Saccharomyces cerevisiae S288C: one gene and its partner. Changing the gene in region 1 together with any one later gene gives a genetic interaction. Each region holds a gene or a part of one and is shown on either strand. Other genes may lie near its edges.

The links. A genetic interaction does not mean that the proteins touch.
Region 2: mutations in VBA3 (region 1) and MCA1 together harm fitness more than expected from each alone (negative genetic interaction), as found in Saccharomyces cerevisiae (2 studies listed by BioGRID).

The regions. Positions count from the first base shown.
Region 1 is NC_001135.5:1,378-11,605, forward strand, and holds VBA3 (basic amino acid transporter), read left to right. Parts: upstream 1-8,328; coding exon 8,329-9,705; downstream 9,706-10,228. Other genes in the region: GEX1 (glutathione exchanger), read right to left, coding at 5,102-6,949; YCL068C (uncharacterized protein), read right to left, coding at 10,126-10,228. UniProt on the Saccharomyces cerevisiae protein: Transporter required for vacuolar uptake of histidine and lysine.
Region 2 is NC_001147.6:714,445-720,828, forward strand, and holds MCA1 (Ca(2+)-dependent cysteine protease MCA1), read left to right. Parts: upstream 1-2,641; coding exon 2,642-3,940; downstream 3,941-6,384. Other genes in the region: SLK19 (Slk19p), read left to right, coding at 1-887; LIP5 (lipoate synthase), read right to left, coding at 1,149-2,393; BFR1 (Bfr1p), read right to left, coding at 4,209-5,621; MRM1 (Mrm1p), read right to left, coding at 6,026-6,384. UniProt on the Saccharomyces cerevisiae protein: Cysteine protease that cleaves specifically after arginine or lysine residues. Mediates cell death (apoptosis) triggered by oxygen stress, salt stress or chronological aging.

The sequences.
Region 1 (10,228 bases):
AAACTTACTACATTATGACCTATAAGCTAGATCGTAATTCATTACGTCAACAGGTTATGAGCCCTCAGAGCAATGCTTCTGAGAACATAATCAATCTATCTAGCCCCAACAATTATAAACAGTGGCTGTACGGTATCGAGACCGCTGCTGAATATGCTAACGAATATATGAACGAATTCGTTCATACCGGAGATATCCAATCAATGAAAAGGGATTACAATCTCAGCGCGAATGATGAAAGCTTTGTCAAAACCGTATTTAACAGTTTCCTGGTAAAGCTCTACAAGAAAACTATCGTGGGTGAAGCTGCATGTGAAATGAACTGGATATGTGATGATTCGCTTGGAAGGGTCTCTGCTTATGATATTTTCTCGCACTTCGAAGAAAACTATAATGAAGTCACTATTGGATCCAGGCTTACTCTTATAGAGGACCTACCAAATATATCCTCCAAGCCTGTAGATGAAATTGCTTCCTTTTTGAAAACTCTATTCACGATGCTTGAAGACAATAGCGAAGAACAGGACAAAAAAAAAAGACGCGACACCAATATCGCGTTGTTATTAATGACCTTCTTACCCGAGTTAAAAGAATCATTCCACGAGAAATTCGGTGACTCTAAGGCTCTTCAGCTATCACAAGTCATTAGATTCTGTAAATTAAATGCGTCATCGAATTCATCATCTTCGGTCTCAGATGCATTGGTTGCACAAGACAGAAGAAACTATCAAAAGAAAGGAAATAAGGGATGTATATAATTTACGGAGCTGATCATCGCATAAGCAACTGTTCTCTGCTTAAACGAAGAATACCAGAAGCACGAATCTTTAAATTATATCCTAATGACAAAACGAGTAGATCTTCATCTGCTAGTGTCGCGATTCCTGACTATGAAACGCAAGGCCAAACAGCAGGACAGATAACACCGAAGTCCTGGCTCTGTATGTTATCTTCGACTGTTCCAGCTACCAAATCCTCAGAATGGATTTTTGACACAGGATGTACTTCCCACATGTGCCACGACCGTTCCATTTTTTCATCATTTACTAGATCCTCTAGGAAAGACTTTGTCAGAGGAGTTGGCGGTTCCATACCCATCATGGGCTCCGGAACTGTAAACATTGGCACTGTTCAATTACATGACGTATCTTACGTTCCTGATTTACCAGTTAACCTGATATCCGTTTGAAAACTATGCACTAAATCAAACTCTTCTGTTACGTTCACAAAAGAGGGTGTCACTGTGCAATCACCTGATGATGTGGTTTCTACAGCTGGGTATTCACAATAAAAGACTCTGGGAAGTACAAAGCTCGCCTTGTCGCCCAAGGACATACTCAAAAGGCTGGTATTGACTATCAGGAAACCTTTGCACCAGTCATTCGATATGACTCTGTTAGATTATTTCTGGCCCTTGCTAGCTGCCTCAAACTAATAGTATATCAGATGGACGTTGACACTGCGTTTCTAAACTCAACCATGGATGAGCCGATCTACGTAAAACAACCACCCGGGTTTGTTAACGAGAGGAATCCCGACTATGTATGGGAACTATACGGCGGTATGTATGGACTCAAACAAGCCCCATTACTATGGAACGAACATATCAACAATACTCTTAAAAAGATTGGTTTCTGTCGACATGAAGGCGAACATGGCTTATATTTTCGTTCCACATCTGATGGTCCCATCTACATTGCCGTATACGTAGACGACTTACTTGTTGCTGCTCCCTCTCCTAAAATATATGACAGGGTTAAGCAAGAATTAACGAAATTATACTCAATGAAGGATCTCGGTAAAGTTGACAAATTCCTCGGTCTTAACATTCATCAATCGTCAAACGGAGACATCACTCTCTCCCTTCAAGACTATATTGCTAAAGCTGCATCTGAAAGCGAAATAAACACATTTAAACTTACACAGACTCCGCTCTGCAACTCAAAGCCTCTTTTCGAAACAACTTCCCCGCATCTAAAAGACATCACTCCTTATCAGAGCATAGTTGGTCAGCTTCTCTTTTGTGCAAATACTGGTCGTCCGGACATATCGTATCCAGTCTCATTACTCTCCAGGTTCCTTCGAGAACCTCGCGCAATCCATTTGGAGTCTGCTCGGCGGGTTCTACGGTACCTATATACCACCAGAAGTATGTGTCTCAAGTATCGTTCTGGATCTCAGTTGGCATTAACTGTATATTGTGATGCATCTCATGGAGCTATTCACGATCTACCACACTCTACTGGGGGGTACGTGACTCTACTTGCTGGTGCTCCCGTTACGTGGTCATCGAAGAAGCTCAAGGGTGTGATTCCTGTACCATCTACTGAGGCAGAATACATTACTGCAAGTGAAACTGTCATGGAGATATAATGGATTCAAAACTTGTTTGAACACTTAGGCCAGCCACTTATCTCATCAACATCATATGTAGATAATAAACCTGCTATAAAACTGTCTAAACATCCTGTATTTCACACGAGAGCAAAACACATTGCTTTGAGATACCACAAGCTAAGAAATGCAGTGGCAGCAGGCATAATTACCATAGAACATGTTATCACAAAGAAACAAGTTGCTGACATATTTACAAAAATCCTTCCAGCTGAATCATTTAAAACACATAGGGCTGTCATGATAAGGGAACCAGAAACTACAAAATAACCATACTCATGCGTATTCAGTTATGGGGGGATGTTAAATGTGGTAACCTAATAGCATGATATGAGTAATGCTTTAGTATTGTTTCAGAGTTGTTTCAGTAATGTTTTAGACAAAGAAAACATATAATAGTAAACCTGTAATCAGGTAGTACTTAAGAAACTATACTTTCTGTGTACAAAACACTAACTATGTAATTCTTACATTTACATAACATGTAGAAAGGTCCAATAAACTTACTATATTATGACATATAAGTTAGATCGTAATTCACTACGTCAACATATCCCACGATAAAAAAAATACCTTGACTCAAGTGCCGAAACAGGAAATAATGAAAGATTTCATACAAGGTTGTTTCTAAGGTGCTATATGTCCCTACGGCCTCGTTTAGCCCCATCTCGCATGCAATACCGTAACATAGGTATATACACACAGAGAAGTAGTAATTTTACGTGTCTTATACTTATTTTATATAGAAATGTCCGACACTTGCGCTACACTAAGGCATATAAGATAGATCTTAATTCCTTGTATTAACATATAAACAGACAACATAACATAGCCAGTTTATCTTACTTATCTTTTCCTGGAAGAGATGGCATTATTTGTGTGTATCAAAGAGGCCTTTTTCAATTTTCATTTTAATATTTTTTTAATATTCTTATATTGAACACATTTTTCTCCCCTAGATTTATGTTTCCTATTGCTCTCCATATCACATTATATCTATGAATGAATATGCATTGCTCTTCTGATACTATGGTATGAGAGGCCTTGGTAAAGGGCATCGATAACCGAAAGAATCATCCGCAGAGAAGTAGAATCTTAGAGCATATCGTCTCGTTGAGACCGTATAGATTCGCAAAAATAACAGAAACTTGCGTTAACATTGAATTTCAAACTCAGTTTTCCATAATTAACTGTTAAAAAAGGCTACTATAAGGGTGTCAATTACTGTTCTGTTTCGCAGGATTAATTCCGTTATGTGCTCTTGTAATTGAGTTAGCGCTTCTTATATCTCTTCAGTAATGCAGCAGTAATAAAACACATTGGCTTCGCTTTCGCTTTTTTTCCAAATCATTATCGAAGATTCTTTGCTTATGATATACTGGTGCTCGAGGATGATGAGAGGACACAACTTTTTGAGGCTTATCGTTATCGTCTGAGTCACAACAACATACATTAACTGTCCACGATTCAGGGATGTGCTATGAGTTCAATTTTCGCTGTAGTGCTGCCATTGGCGCTGCTACTGGTGTCTGGAAAAACTCCACAGCTTTCAATGGAGATGTGACTGCACGAGTGAGACATTATCTGTATTAGCTTCACAACCATACTCTGTTAGTAAGGAGCCATAGTCGACATCTGTCCAGCTCAATCGGGTATGATATTTGATATCCCCAAAATACATGGCTGTACCATGTAAAATGAGCGGTATATCGAAGATCAGTATATTTCAGCCTATACAGGATCCTACTATTTCAACAAAAATGATTTCATCAAAATTAAATCACGCTGCAACATTGGTGAAGAATCTCAAAAGGTTAGTAACATCAATATATCGCGGAGTAGCTATCATTGTGGCAGTTAACTTAAAGGATATACAGTTAATTCAACAAGATTTTCAAGTCCATTTTTTTTGGGCACGCTGAACACGCTCAATGTAGTACTTGTTTTGGAAATCACTCGCAAGTTTAATGGGACGAATTATATCAGTAATGTGTAAATTCCGACACAATGTTCGGTTAGTAGATTTACTGCTGGATTATTGGGTTCACCCGTAGACTGTTGCCGACTCCAAGAAAACTATGATCTCAATACAGGCATAAAGAATTGTTGTATCTGTGCCCATGTGATCTGTACCTTTTTTGCGGTACCAAAATCGCATGTTGCACTCACACTACGGAACACATCAACTTGTAACGACAACAATACAAAATACCAGGAGACATATCACTTTTTTTCGCCTAGAATGATTTACAATGGCATACACTTAGAAAAGTGCTATGACATGACGCCCTTACTAGAAGTTACATGATTCTCCTTTTTTTTCTTTCTTTCTTTCTTTTTCGGTACAACATAATTAATGCATTCATACAGAGCGCATTTCCAGCATCATTTATTGGATAGTAACTCCTCCCGCACTTTCAATATCAATGACGCTGACTCTTTTACTGACGCTGAGTCTTTACCGACGCTGAGTCTTTACCGACGCTGAGTCTTTACCGACGCTGAGTCTTTACCGACGCTTGTGAAAATAAAAAGTACGACACAGCTATATGCGTCGCAAGTTCAGATGTGGGTCTATCGAGCATGTTTATCCTATCCTGTTATGTCATTTTTATCGGAAGTAATAAAAGTGTAGAAATCACTTGTTTTTGCCTTTTTTGTGATTTTGCTTTCATTTTTTTTTGCCCTTTTTTCACCAGCTTGGGGATCAACATCCTAATTTCTTGTTACTTCGATTATGTCTAAAAAGTGCCTTGATTTGAGAGAAAATATTTTCCTCATCTGGCAAGACAACCAAACCATCTTCAGTGAATTCTTCGTGTGTCGCCTTGTCTATTAGTTCCGGGTCTCTCATGAACATTGTAAACGCAAAGAACGGTACCGTACATGCCAAGCCAACCGTCATTATTATTCGTTGAACATATCTGTAAGATTCAACCACAGCATCTCTTTCGGGTGAGCCCCAAGGATAATCACTAATGAATGTATAAGGTGATGCATATGCTATTTCTGCCAATGTATCGTTTCCAAGGTTCTTGTAGAGTTGGTTAGGCATGGTTTGTGTCCATATGGCACCAGAAACGGAGGCACCGATAGCAGCGCCTAGCTTTGAAAAGGTATACTGGATGCCGGTTATTACAGCCATCCTACTATGCGTAGTCATGGCTTGCAGTATGACGATCACTGAATTGCTGCATAGGAGACCACTCAAACCCATGATAACAGATGCAGCGATAACACCTTCATGAGACCCAGATCCTCCTCTGTATTTGTAAAAAAGGCCCATGCACACCATCCATGCAGCACAACCTCCGATTACAGAAAGTTTCAGTTTCCTTGTCTTTGCCACCAACAAACTGTAGAATGGAGATGCAGTAGCAGCAACAAAGTCAGGAAGGTTTACTATCCGAGCAGCCGAAGTGGACGATTCTTTCATCGATACCAGCAAAACAGGATACAGATAGTCACACGAAATGAAAAAGGTGAAAAAATTGAAAAAAGTAACACCAAGGGGTGCCCAAATTCCACGATCACTTAGTAATTTGAACGGTAGAAGAGGAGATTTGGCAAATTTGGCCTCCCAATATAAAAAAATGAAAAATAAACAGCCACCTGAAACTAAAGTGGCAATTATTTTTGAATTGTGCCACTTCTGTGATGTCTCATTAGCCAACGTCAAAGGGACAAGGATACACCCTAGCGACACAGTTATTAATAATATGCCAACAATATCGAGTTTCCAGAATAGAAACACCAAATTCTCAAATAATCCGCCCGTTCTTTCCTTTCTAGCCTGTTCTTTGAGAGATCTCCACTCAGCAGTCTTTGAAGATTTGTACTTCATATAAAGAATAAGAAATATAATTGGCAAGGCAGAGAGTGGGTAAATAAAAGCCCACATTGCAATATTCCAGGACCAGTTTTTCTGAGGATTTGCTGCTGTGATAATATTACCTGAAATCCATGGTATTATGATATATGGCCAATATGAGGCGTACTGGTAAAACATTCTCCACTTCAAGGAGGAGAAATCAGAAAGTATTAATGTCAGGAGCAGATTTGTTCCGACGTATCCACAGTTATAGAAAACCGATCCTGCTGCATACATTGTGAGACGGGTCGCCTGTGATTGAATGATGGTTCCCATTATATAAAAAATAGTTGCAACTAAAAAAAGCCTTAGTCTTCCGAAGTGGTCAGAGAGTCTGGAGTAGACAACTTGGGATCCGACACTTACAACAGCATTGATAACTTGGACAGTTGAAAGTAAGGAGTGTTCTGAATATGAGTTCGTCGCATAGCCCGTATAGGTCGATCTAAGTGTGTAGTCTAAACTAATTCCAAACCCACATACAAACGCGGTACTTATCAGTAGAATTTTATATTTCAAGGAATCAAACTGTGCAGACATAATTTCGTTTTCTTTGAGCTTAAAAAAGGTCGATGTCATAGAGTACGTGTCATCGTTTGAGTGACGTTCTCGCTCAATAATCTCACAGGACTGCCTAATTCCACTTTTTTTATTACTTGAGGCACCAACAACACTAGAACTCATCCGATAATTTATTTACTTGATTATTCCTTTTTTTTTTTTTTCTCTTTCCAGTCCATAAAACTATTTTACTTTTCTTATTTATGTAAATAGTATTTAAGATTCTACGGTCGCTACATCTGCTAGAAATGGAATTACTTTAATACATTCCATGTTCTCATATATACTTTTACTGACACCTTTCGTCACTATTTTTTGTTTAACTTTTTTTTTGGAAGTACTAAAATTATATGCTCGTAATTATTGAGTATCAAAAAAAAAAAAAAAAAAAATTGCTGTGACACCCCTTCAATGTGGTGTCTATACACCTGGTGACTTTAACTTTAACTTTGACCTGTCGTCGTACAATCAACTTAGTTTCCGAAAATCCACGACGAACCAGTTATACCGAAGACTTTTGTACGACAAGAATACTGTACCGTCGAAACTATCTCTTTTCAAACTGATGAGTGAAGCTTGTGTTTATGTCTGTTGAAACAAGGAAAAAAATGCGGTGCCTGTCGACAGGATATGCGCACAAGTGCAAAATCATCAAAAAATTGAGTACCTAGATCCGGTGGTGTAGGACGAGCAAAGTTCCTTCATAAACAAACCGTAAGGGTTACTGATACACAATTTCCTTTTTGTAAAGAGTATTTGAGCAAATTAGTCAGCGATTGAAAACAACACCCTTTTTTCTATATATAGTAGGTGAAAGTTAACATGCGAGTAAAAGTAGTGCCACATTTCCTTTGCAGCAGGTGCAAATTGGTACATATTTAACAGATAGCGCCGCACCTCATATGCAGCGCGTACATGATACGAGACGACAAGATATGCAAAAGATAATAGTGTCATCACACCTTTATGAGAAGCGAATTTTTTTTTTTTTTTGGTTTAAATATATATATATACATATATATAGATATAGATATACACATGTATAGATGTATTCTAGTTATGCTTATACCTAGAACTGATCAGACCAGATCATACCTGGTATAGAGCTTAATCGATAGAAATTCAAAAATATGGAGGAAACTAAGTACTCTTCGCAGCAGGAGATAGAAGAAGCATGTGGTTCAGACGCTTCATTGAATGCTAGAGGTAGCAATGATTCTCCAATGGGACTTTCCTTGTACCTCTGCCTGGCTTCGTGAACTCTTGTACTATTCATAACTGCACTGGATATTTTGATAGTGGGAACTATTATTGACGTGGTCGCAGAACAGTTCGGAAACTACTCCAAAACAGGTTGGCTCGTTACAGGCTACAGTTTACCAAATGCTATTCTGAGTCTCATTTGGGGAAGATTCGCATCTATCATAGGTTTCCAGCATAGTCTCATTTTAGCAATACTTATTTTTGAAGCCGGATCCCTAATTGCTGCCCTTGCCTCTTCAATGAATATGCTCATTGTCGGTAGAGTTGTTGCTAGTGTTGGGGGAAGCGGACTTCAAACGCTTTGCTTTGTTATTGGTTGTACGATGGTTGGTGAAAGGTCACGTCCATTGGTGATTTCCATCCTAAGTTGTGCATTTGCTGTAGCTGCTATCGTTGGTCCTATAATCGGAGGTGCCTTTACAACCCATGTTACCTGGAGGTGGTGCTTCTATATCAATCTTCCTATCGGTGGTCTTGCCATTATTATGTTTTTACTCACATATAAGGCCGAGAATAAGGGTATACTTCAACAAATTAAAGATGCTATAGGAACAATCTCGAGCTTTACTTTTAGTAAGTTCAGACACCAAGTTAATTTTAAAAGACTTATGAATGGCATAATCTTCAAGTTTGACTTCTTTGGTTTTGCCCTCTGCTCTGCAGGGCTGGTCCTTTTCCTACTGGGGCTAACCTTTGGTGGTAATAAATATAGTTGGAACTCTGGCCAAGTCATCGCATATTTGGTTTTGGGTGTCTTACTTTTTATTTTTTCATTGGTGTACGATTTCTTCTTATTCGATAAATTCAACCCGGAACCTGATAATATATCCTACAGGCCTCTCCTTCTAAGAAGATTGGTAGCAAAACCAGCCATAATAATAATAAACATGGTAACATTTCTATTATGTACCGGTTACAATGGGCAAATGATATACTCTGTCCAGTTTTTCCAACTTATATTTGCGTCGAGTGCATGGAAAGCCGGTCTTCACTTGATACCAATCGTTATTACCAACGTTATTGCGGCCATTGCAAGTGGTGTGATTACCAAAAAGCTCGGTTTAGTTAAACCACTCTTAATATTTGGAGGCGTTCTTGGGGTAATTGGAGCAGGGCTTATGACACTTATGACAAATACGTCCACGAAGTCAACTCAAATTGGTGTTTTGCTATTACCGGGGTTTTCCCTTGGATTTGCTCTACAAGCATCGCTCATGAGTGCACAGCTTCAAATTACCAAAGATCGTCCAGAAGCTGCTATGGACTTTATTGAAGTAACAGCTTTCAATACATTCATGAAGTCATTAGGTACAACTCTTGGTGGTGTGCTTTCAACCACTGTTTTTTCCGCCTCCTTTCACAACAAAGTATCACGAGCTCATCTAGAGCCTTACGAAGGAAAAACGGTTGATGACATGATTTTGTATCGTCTTCAAAACTACGACGGTTCTCATTCGACTATTGGAAACATTTTAAGCGACTCCATTAAGAACGTATTTTGGATGGATCTAGGGTTTTATGCCTTAGGATTTTTGTTTTGTAGTTTTTCATCCAATAAGAAATTAATCATACCAAAAAAGGACGAGACACCAGAAGATAATTTAGAAGACAAGTAGCGCAGTTATTTTCTTATTTTCATTTTATTTTTTTCGCCTTTTATACAGACTTCAACACAATCAGAATCAAATAGGTGTATCGCAATGGAATGTAATTTCTTAAGTATTCTATATGTACTTAAAACCTATTAATATATGGATCAACACAGTATCTTATGAATGGGTTTTTGATTTTTTTATGTTTTTTTAAAACATTAAAGTTTTCGGCACGGACTTATTTGGAATTCAAATTATTAATGAAAGAACAATTAACTAATTAATGTACTTAGTATTTGGCCATTATTATCGATTTCGGGGGCCAAATCTAACCAAATTCAACCTACATTTTTTCAAATTGATTCAAACACCTTTCACAATAAGATTTTTATATCTAGCGCACATAGAATGAAATGTAAACAAAGATTTCAGAAAAATCGTCATTCAAACTTGTATTAGACGAGGGACGGAGTGATTTTTGTGTTTGTTTTTATTAATTGTGGGATAGGATAGTAGCAACTCTTGGAGGAGAGCATTGTCAGTTGTC
Region 2 (6,384 bases), on another chromosome or scaffold:
ATTTGAATAACCTGAACGACGATAATTTGAAGGTAGTACAGGATAAATTAATTAAAAATGAGGAGACGCTAAAACTAAAAGAAGCTGAAATTGATTCATTGAATAGTGAAATGGACGAGCTAAAAAAACAGATCACTTCAAAAGATGATGAATTTAAGATGTGGCAAAGTAAATACGAAACTGTCGAAGACGAAGCTAAGATACGCAATGCCGAAGTTACAGAGTTGAACGGAGATATTGAAGATCTAAAGGAATCAAAATTGCATTTGGAAGAAACAATTACGGAACTAGAAAACAAAGTTCATAAACTAGAAAATGAGTGTGAACTGGAGAAACAAAAATTCGAAAAAACTTCGCTAGAATTAGAAAGCTTACAACTAAAAAATAGTAACATTCAGGCTGAGCACATCAAAGAATTGGAAAATCTTCATGAAAACCTTATTTCTCTTCAAAATGAATTGAAGATTTCATCCGACAGGATAACAACATTAACAAAAGAAAATGAAGTATTAATGGAACAAAATAATAATAACAATAATAGCGTTACTTTAAGCAATGATCAAAAGGATAGAGATGATGAAAAAATTAAATCATTAGGAAAACAAGTACAAGATTGGAAAGAAAAGTATGAGGCCAAAGAAAAAGATACAAATAAAAGGCTAAAGTTATTAGCAGAAGATTTGTATATCCAGTATTCATCCAAACACGAACAAAAGGTCAAACTGTTGAAAAAAGGCTATGAAAACAAGTACCAAAATAAGTTTGATCAATTAAATTTAGAAAATAAAACTCTGTCAGAAGAAATCGAGCAATTGAACAAGCAGCTGTCTTCAGAAAGAGAAGAAAAGCAGGAGTTACTCAAGTTGTTAGAAAATGAAAAAAAATAAACGCATTTTTTTCTTTTGCATTTTATCTTTTCCCTTAATATGTCATGAGAATAAAATATTAAGGATATACCGTAAATATACAAATTCGTATCGAATATTTGATATTGTTTCCTAACTTTTCTGTGTTAAAAATAAATATGCAAAAACATACTAACCATAAAAATAAATAAAATACAAGATATAAATAAATAATCCAGCAAGCAAAGACATTGCGGTCCATGCCATAATTGTTTTCTTCCAACTATTAGATTTCAGTGTGCATTATTTCATGTTTCTTTTCTTCAAAACGTTCTCAATAAATGCTTCACCAGCCTTATATGACGATCTTACTAGGGGTCCAGATGCACAATACAAGAATCCCATCTCTAAAGCTCTCTCTTTCCAGTAGTCAAACTTTTCGGGTTTCACATATTCTACGACTTTCATATGTCTCTTGGTTGGCCTCATATATTGACCAAATGTAACAACATCACATTGAATATTGCGCAAATCCTTCAAAGTTTGAGTAATTTGCTCATCAGTTTCTCCTAGACCCAGCATTATTGATGTTTTAGTAATCAGTGACGGAACCGTAGCTTTTGCCCTTTCTAAAACACTCAAAGACTGTCTATAAGTAGCTCTTCTGTCTCTGACATGTGGTGTTAGTGATTCAACTGTTTCCAAATTATGTGCGTAAACATCAAGCCCACATTGTGCCATAATGTCCACCATCTTCAAATCACCTCTGAAATCACCAGAAAGAGTCTCTACAAGAGTATTTGGTGCCTTCTGTTTGATTTTGCGAACCGTCTCGGCCAGGTGATTAGCACCACCATCGACTAAATCGTCCCTATCAACGGTAGTTAAAACAACATAACCCAACCCCCATCTTTTGATAGCTTCGGCAGTATTTTCGGGCTCCATTGGGTCCGGCTTACTAGGCGTTCTATTGGTCTTCACAGAACAAAACCTACATCCACGAGTGCAAGTATCACCAAGCAGCATAATTGTTGCCGTTGCCTTAGATTTATCTTTGCCTCCCCAACATTCACCAATATTGGGACATCTTGCCTCCTCACAAACAGTACTCAGGCCTAATTCTTTTACGTCGCCTTTCAATTTATGGTAATTGGTACCCTTAGGAATAGGAACCTTAAGCCAACGAGGTAGTTTTTTAGCTTCCTCTGTATTTTGCCTTGCCTTCTCCAGAGGGTCCAAGATCATTTTCGAAGCTTTACCTGAAACAAAATCTGCAAAAGATGGACCCAAATTAAGAGCATCTTTGAACTCTGTAATTCTTTTTCTGTTCCCCTTGCGTCTTTTTCCCGAAGTCCCTGTTAACTGACTGGTTGCATTTTCAACCTCAGTTGAATTTCCAACTGGTACCCTAACGCTAGCGTTATCTGAATCAGTATTCAATGCATTGGATCTTATTGGCCGAGTTGCGCTCGTTCCACACCTAATAGTGGACGAAATCCATCTTGTATTTCTCCCAACAAATAGTACTCCAACAGATCGTCTATACATTATTGTGGCTTAACAGTTCTCCTTAAAATCCACATAACTGACAAAACTGGATACTTAATGCCCATCGAGTCATATACATATATTTGATTACTACAAGTGCTTTTCAAATAACTGCTTCGAGAAAAGCGTCCGGGTAATAACAACTATTGAAAAAGCATGGCTTCGCATTAATAGGAGCCAAAAATATGAAGATGAGCCTCGAAGTTTATCTAAACTACCACCAAAGAAGACCGACTAGATTTACAATCATGTATCCAGGTAGTGGACGTTACACCTACAACAACGCTGGTGGTAATAATGGCTACCAACGGCCCATGGCTCCTCCACCTAACCAGCAGTATGGACAGCAATATGGTCAGCAATATGAACAGCAGTATGGACAGCAATATGGGCAACAAAATGATCAGCAATTCAGTCAGCAATATGCTCCACCACCAGGTCCTCCCCCTATGGCTTATAACAGGCCTGTGTATCCCCCCCCTCAATTCCAGCAGGAACAGGCAAAGGCACAATTAAGCAACGGCTACAACAATCCTAATGTAAACGCATCCAATATGTACGGTCCACCCCAGAATATGTCATTACCTCCACCTCAAACACAAACTATTCAAGGTACAGACCAACCTTATCAGTATTCTCAATGTACTGGGCGTAGAAAGGCTTTGATTATCGGTATAAACTACATAGGTTCAAAAAATCAACTGCGTGGTTGTATCAATGATGCTCATAACATCTTCAACTTTTTGACTAATGGGTACGGTTACAGTTCAGATGACATTGTCATATTAACTGATGATCAGAACGATTTGGTCAGGGTTCCCACTAGGGCTAATATGATTAGGGCCATGCAATGGTTGGTCAAGGATGCGCAACCCAATGATTCTTTGTTCCTTCATTATTCTGGACATGGTGGCCAAACTGAAGATTTGGATGGGGACGAAGAAGATGGGATGGATGATGTTATATATCCGGTCGATTTCGAAACTCAAGGGCCAATTATCGACGATGAAATGCACGATATAATGGTGAAGCCCTTACAACAAGGTGTTAGACTAACAGCATTGTTTGACTCTTGTCATTCGGGTACAGTGTTGGATCTTCCATATACCTATTCTACTAAGGGTATTATTAAGGAGCCCAATATTTGGAAGGATGTTGGCCAAGATGGCCTGCAAGCAGCTATTTCATATGCCACAGGAAACAGGGCTGCTTTGATTGGTTCTTTAGGTTCTATATTCAAGACCGTTAAGGGAGGTATGGGCAATAATGTGGATAGAGAACGCGTGAGACAGATCAAATTCTCAGCAGCAGATGTTGTTATGTTATCAGGTTCGAAGGATAATCAAACTTCTGCAGATGCTGTCGAAGATGGGCAAAATACAGGTGCAATGTCCCACGCCTTCATCAAGGTTATGACTTTACAACCACAGCAATCATATTTATCTCTTTTACAGAACATGAGGAAAGAATTGGCTGGTAAGTATTCTCAAAAACCACAATTATCATCGTCACACCCTATTGACGTAAATCTGCAATTTATTATGTAGAAATATATGAATGTGTACGTTGGTAGATGTATTCAGACTGGTGTAGTATGTGATTCAATTTTTATTTTTTTAGAAAGCAGAAACAATCTAAGCTATTAATACTATATACATATAGGCAAAGATATATAGGGAATAGGCATTTTGGAAAATAAGACCATGTGTTTTTTTAACGTAGTGAATACTAAGTACAGAAAAAAACATCACCTCAACCAAAGAAAAATTAAGTAATGAAGAAAGATCAGGAGAAAAATTTTTTTCTACTTCAGGTTTAATTTTCTTTATCTTTTTCAGACTCTTCCTGTTCTTTCAATCTTTTTTCTTCCAATTCCTTTTTTACTTGTTGCTCTTTGTTAGAGTAGTCCAAATTTAATTTCTCAATTTCCTTTTCGACAGATTCAATGTTTTGTTTTGTTTGCTCTTCTTGTTTCGACAAAAGCTCTTCATGCTTCTTCTTCAATTGCTCAACGGTGATCTTGACATCATCACTGTTGATTGGGACAGTTACGTCTAATTCGGCCAAAGTAGCAATTAGTGTTGGTTCTAAAGTAAACTTGCCATCGACTTTGTTGAAAATAGAAGCAGGTTGCTCATTTTCAGTGTTCTTCTGTTGGTTCTTCTTCTTGTATTTCTTAGATTTAGATGGAGCAACATTGACAAAATCATCCTTCTTTGGAGTGACCAAAACCAAATCATCAGCAACAACTTTTCTGGCAGGCTTGGTCTCCAAAGCATTGCTACTCAAGTCAGGCAGGATGTTTTTCTTTGGTTTCACATAAGTTGGGTCCAGGACAAGCAAAGAATTCTCAATGGCACCGATTTCATAAGTGAAGGCTGGAATCTTGGCATGAGTCAACTTTTCTTGCAATTTACCCATATCAACATCTTTCTGTTCCAAAAGTTTGGATAATCTTTGTTCTTCTTCACGTTTCAAACGTTCTTTGTCCAATTTGGCTCTGAATGATTTGAATTCGTTGTCAAAGTCAGCTCTGATCTGTCTGATTTGACTGTATAATTCGTCACGCTTCTTGTACAAGGCAGCACGTTTGTTGAATAAAGTTTGTCTTTTGTCGTAAACACCTTGAGTTTTTGAATGGATATCGTTCAATTTTTGCTGGTTCTCTTCGAATTGGTTGGAGACATCCTTTGGATTCAATCCGTTCAATTCTTCCTTCAATTGATTGATTTTAGCCTTGTCAGCATCAACAGACTTTCTGATTGGCTCGATGTTAACTAAGTCCTTAATCAATTTGTTCAAAGATTGCATTTCTTTGACTAGTAGTTTTTCTTGAACCAAAGAAAGGTCACCAGAGGCAATAGACTCTTCAATCTCATTGATTCTTTGCTTGGCTTCTGCAGTGGACGAGAACTTGGCCTTTTTGCCTAACTTCTCCTCAATTTGGTTGTTTTTTCTCTTGATTTGAGCATCCAATTGCTTAATAGAGTCGTGAATGTTGCTTCTACGGGTTTTCAAGTCAGCTTGGATCTTGATGATCTCCTTGTTCTTATCCTGTAACTTCTTACGTTCTTGTTGGGTGGTATCGTTGACCTGGTGTTGATCGATTTGCTTTCTAATTAAACCGATTTCAGTGTCGATTTTTTTCAATTGAACGTTAAGAGTGTCCAATTTCTTGTCTCTAACGGAGACATCTGGGCGCTTGAACTTGTGTTGTTGGGAGGACATGGCAATGGCTGTGTTGTTAGAAAATATGCTATTACGTTGATAAAAGGAGGAAAGGTGAAATCAGTTCAAAAATGTGAATGAAACTGAACGAAGAAATGACCAGAATGAGTGAAAAATGGAGATGGAGGGGCAAAATGAAAAAAAAAAAAAGGATGAACCTAAAATAGAAAATAGACTCCGTCGTACTTTAATGCTATGTATAACGCAACCAAGCAATTTTCGAAACTCAATTTGGCTTATAAATGTTCGAGATAAAATGCGAATTACGTGTTCAACGTCGTCGAGATCAGTTATTTTTTTTCACCGCCACAGTGCGGGTAAGCAATTTTTCGCGTACCACCACCATTACACATGTATAATGTATATAGGCTTATTATGTATGTTTGTGCTACTTTATATGACGGTTATTTACAAGTTAGAATATTATCTATTAACAATGCAGTAGCCACGCTTACGTTTAGTGAGTCAACAATGGGTTCTGGGGCCCGATTGCCTTTCTCAATGCCACCAAAGGGAATTTCGACGAAGAAGTCACTCCTCATCTTCAAATTCGTTCTTACGCCCTGGCTTTCGTTCCCCACCACTAGAACAACAGGCAGCTCGTTACATAATCCGTTCAAATCGTGCATGCTAATAGTTTTTCCAACAGTGTATTTTTCTGACGTGGCATTAGCTAAGTGGCTTGTAATAAACGTCCAGCCACCCATTTCTTGTGATTTAGTAAAAAACTCTAACGGTTTATCAACGTAAAATATGGGCAGAA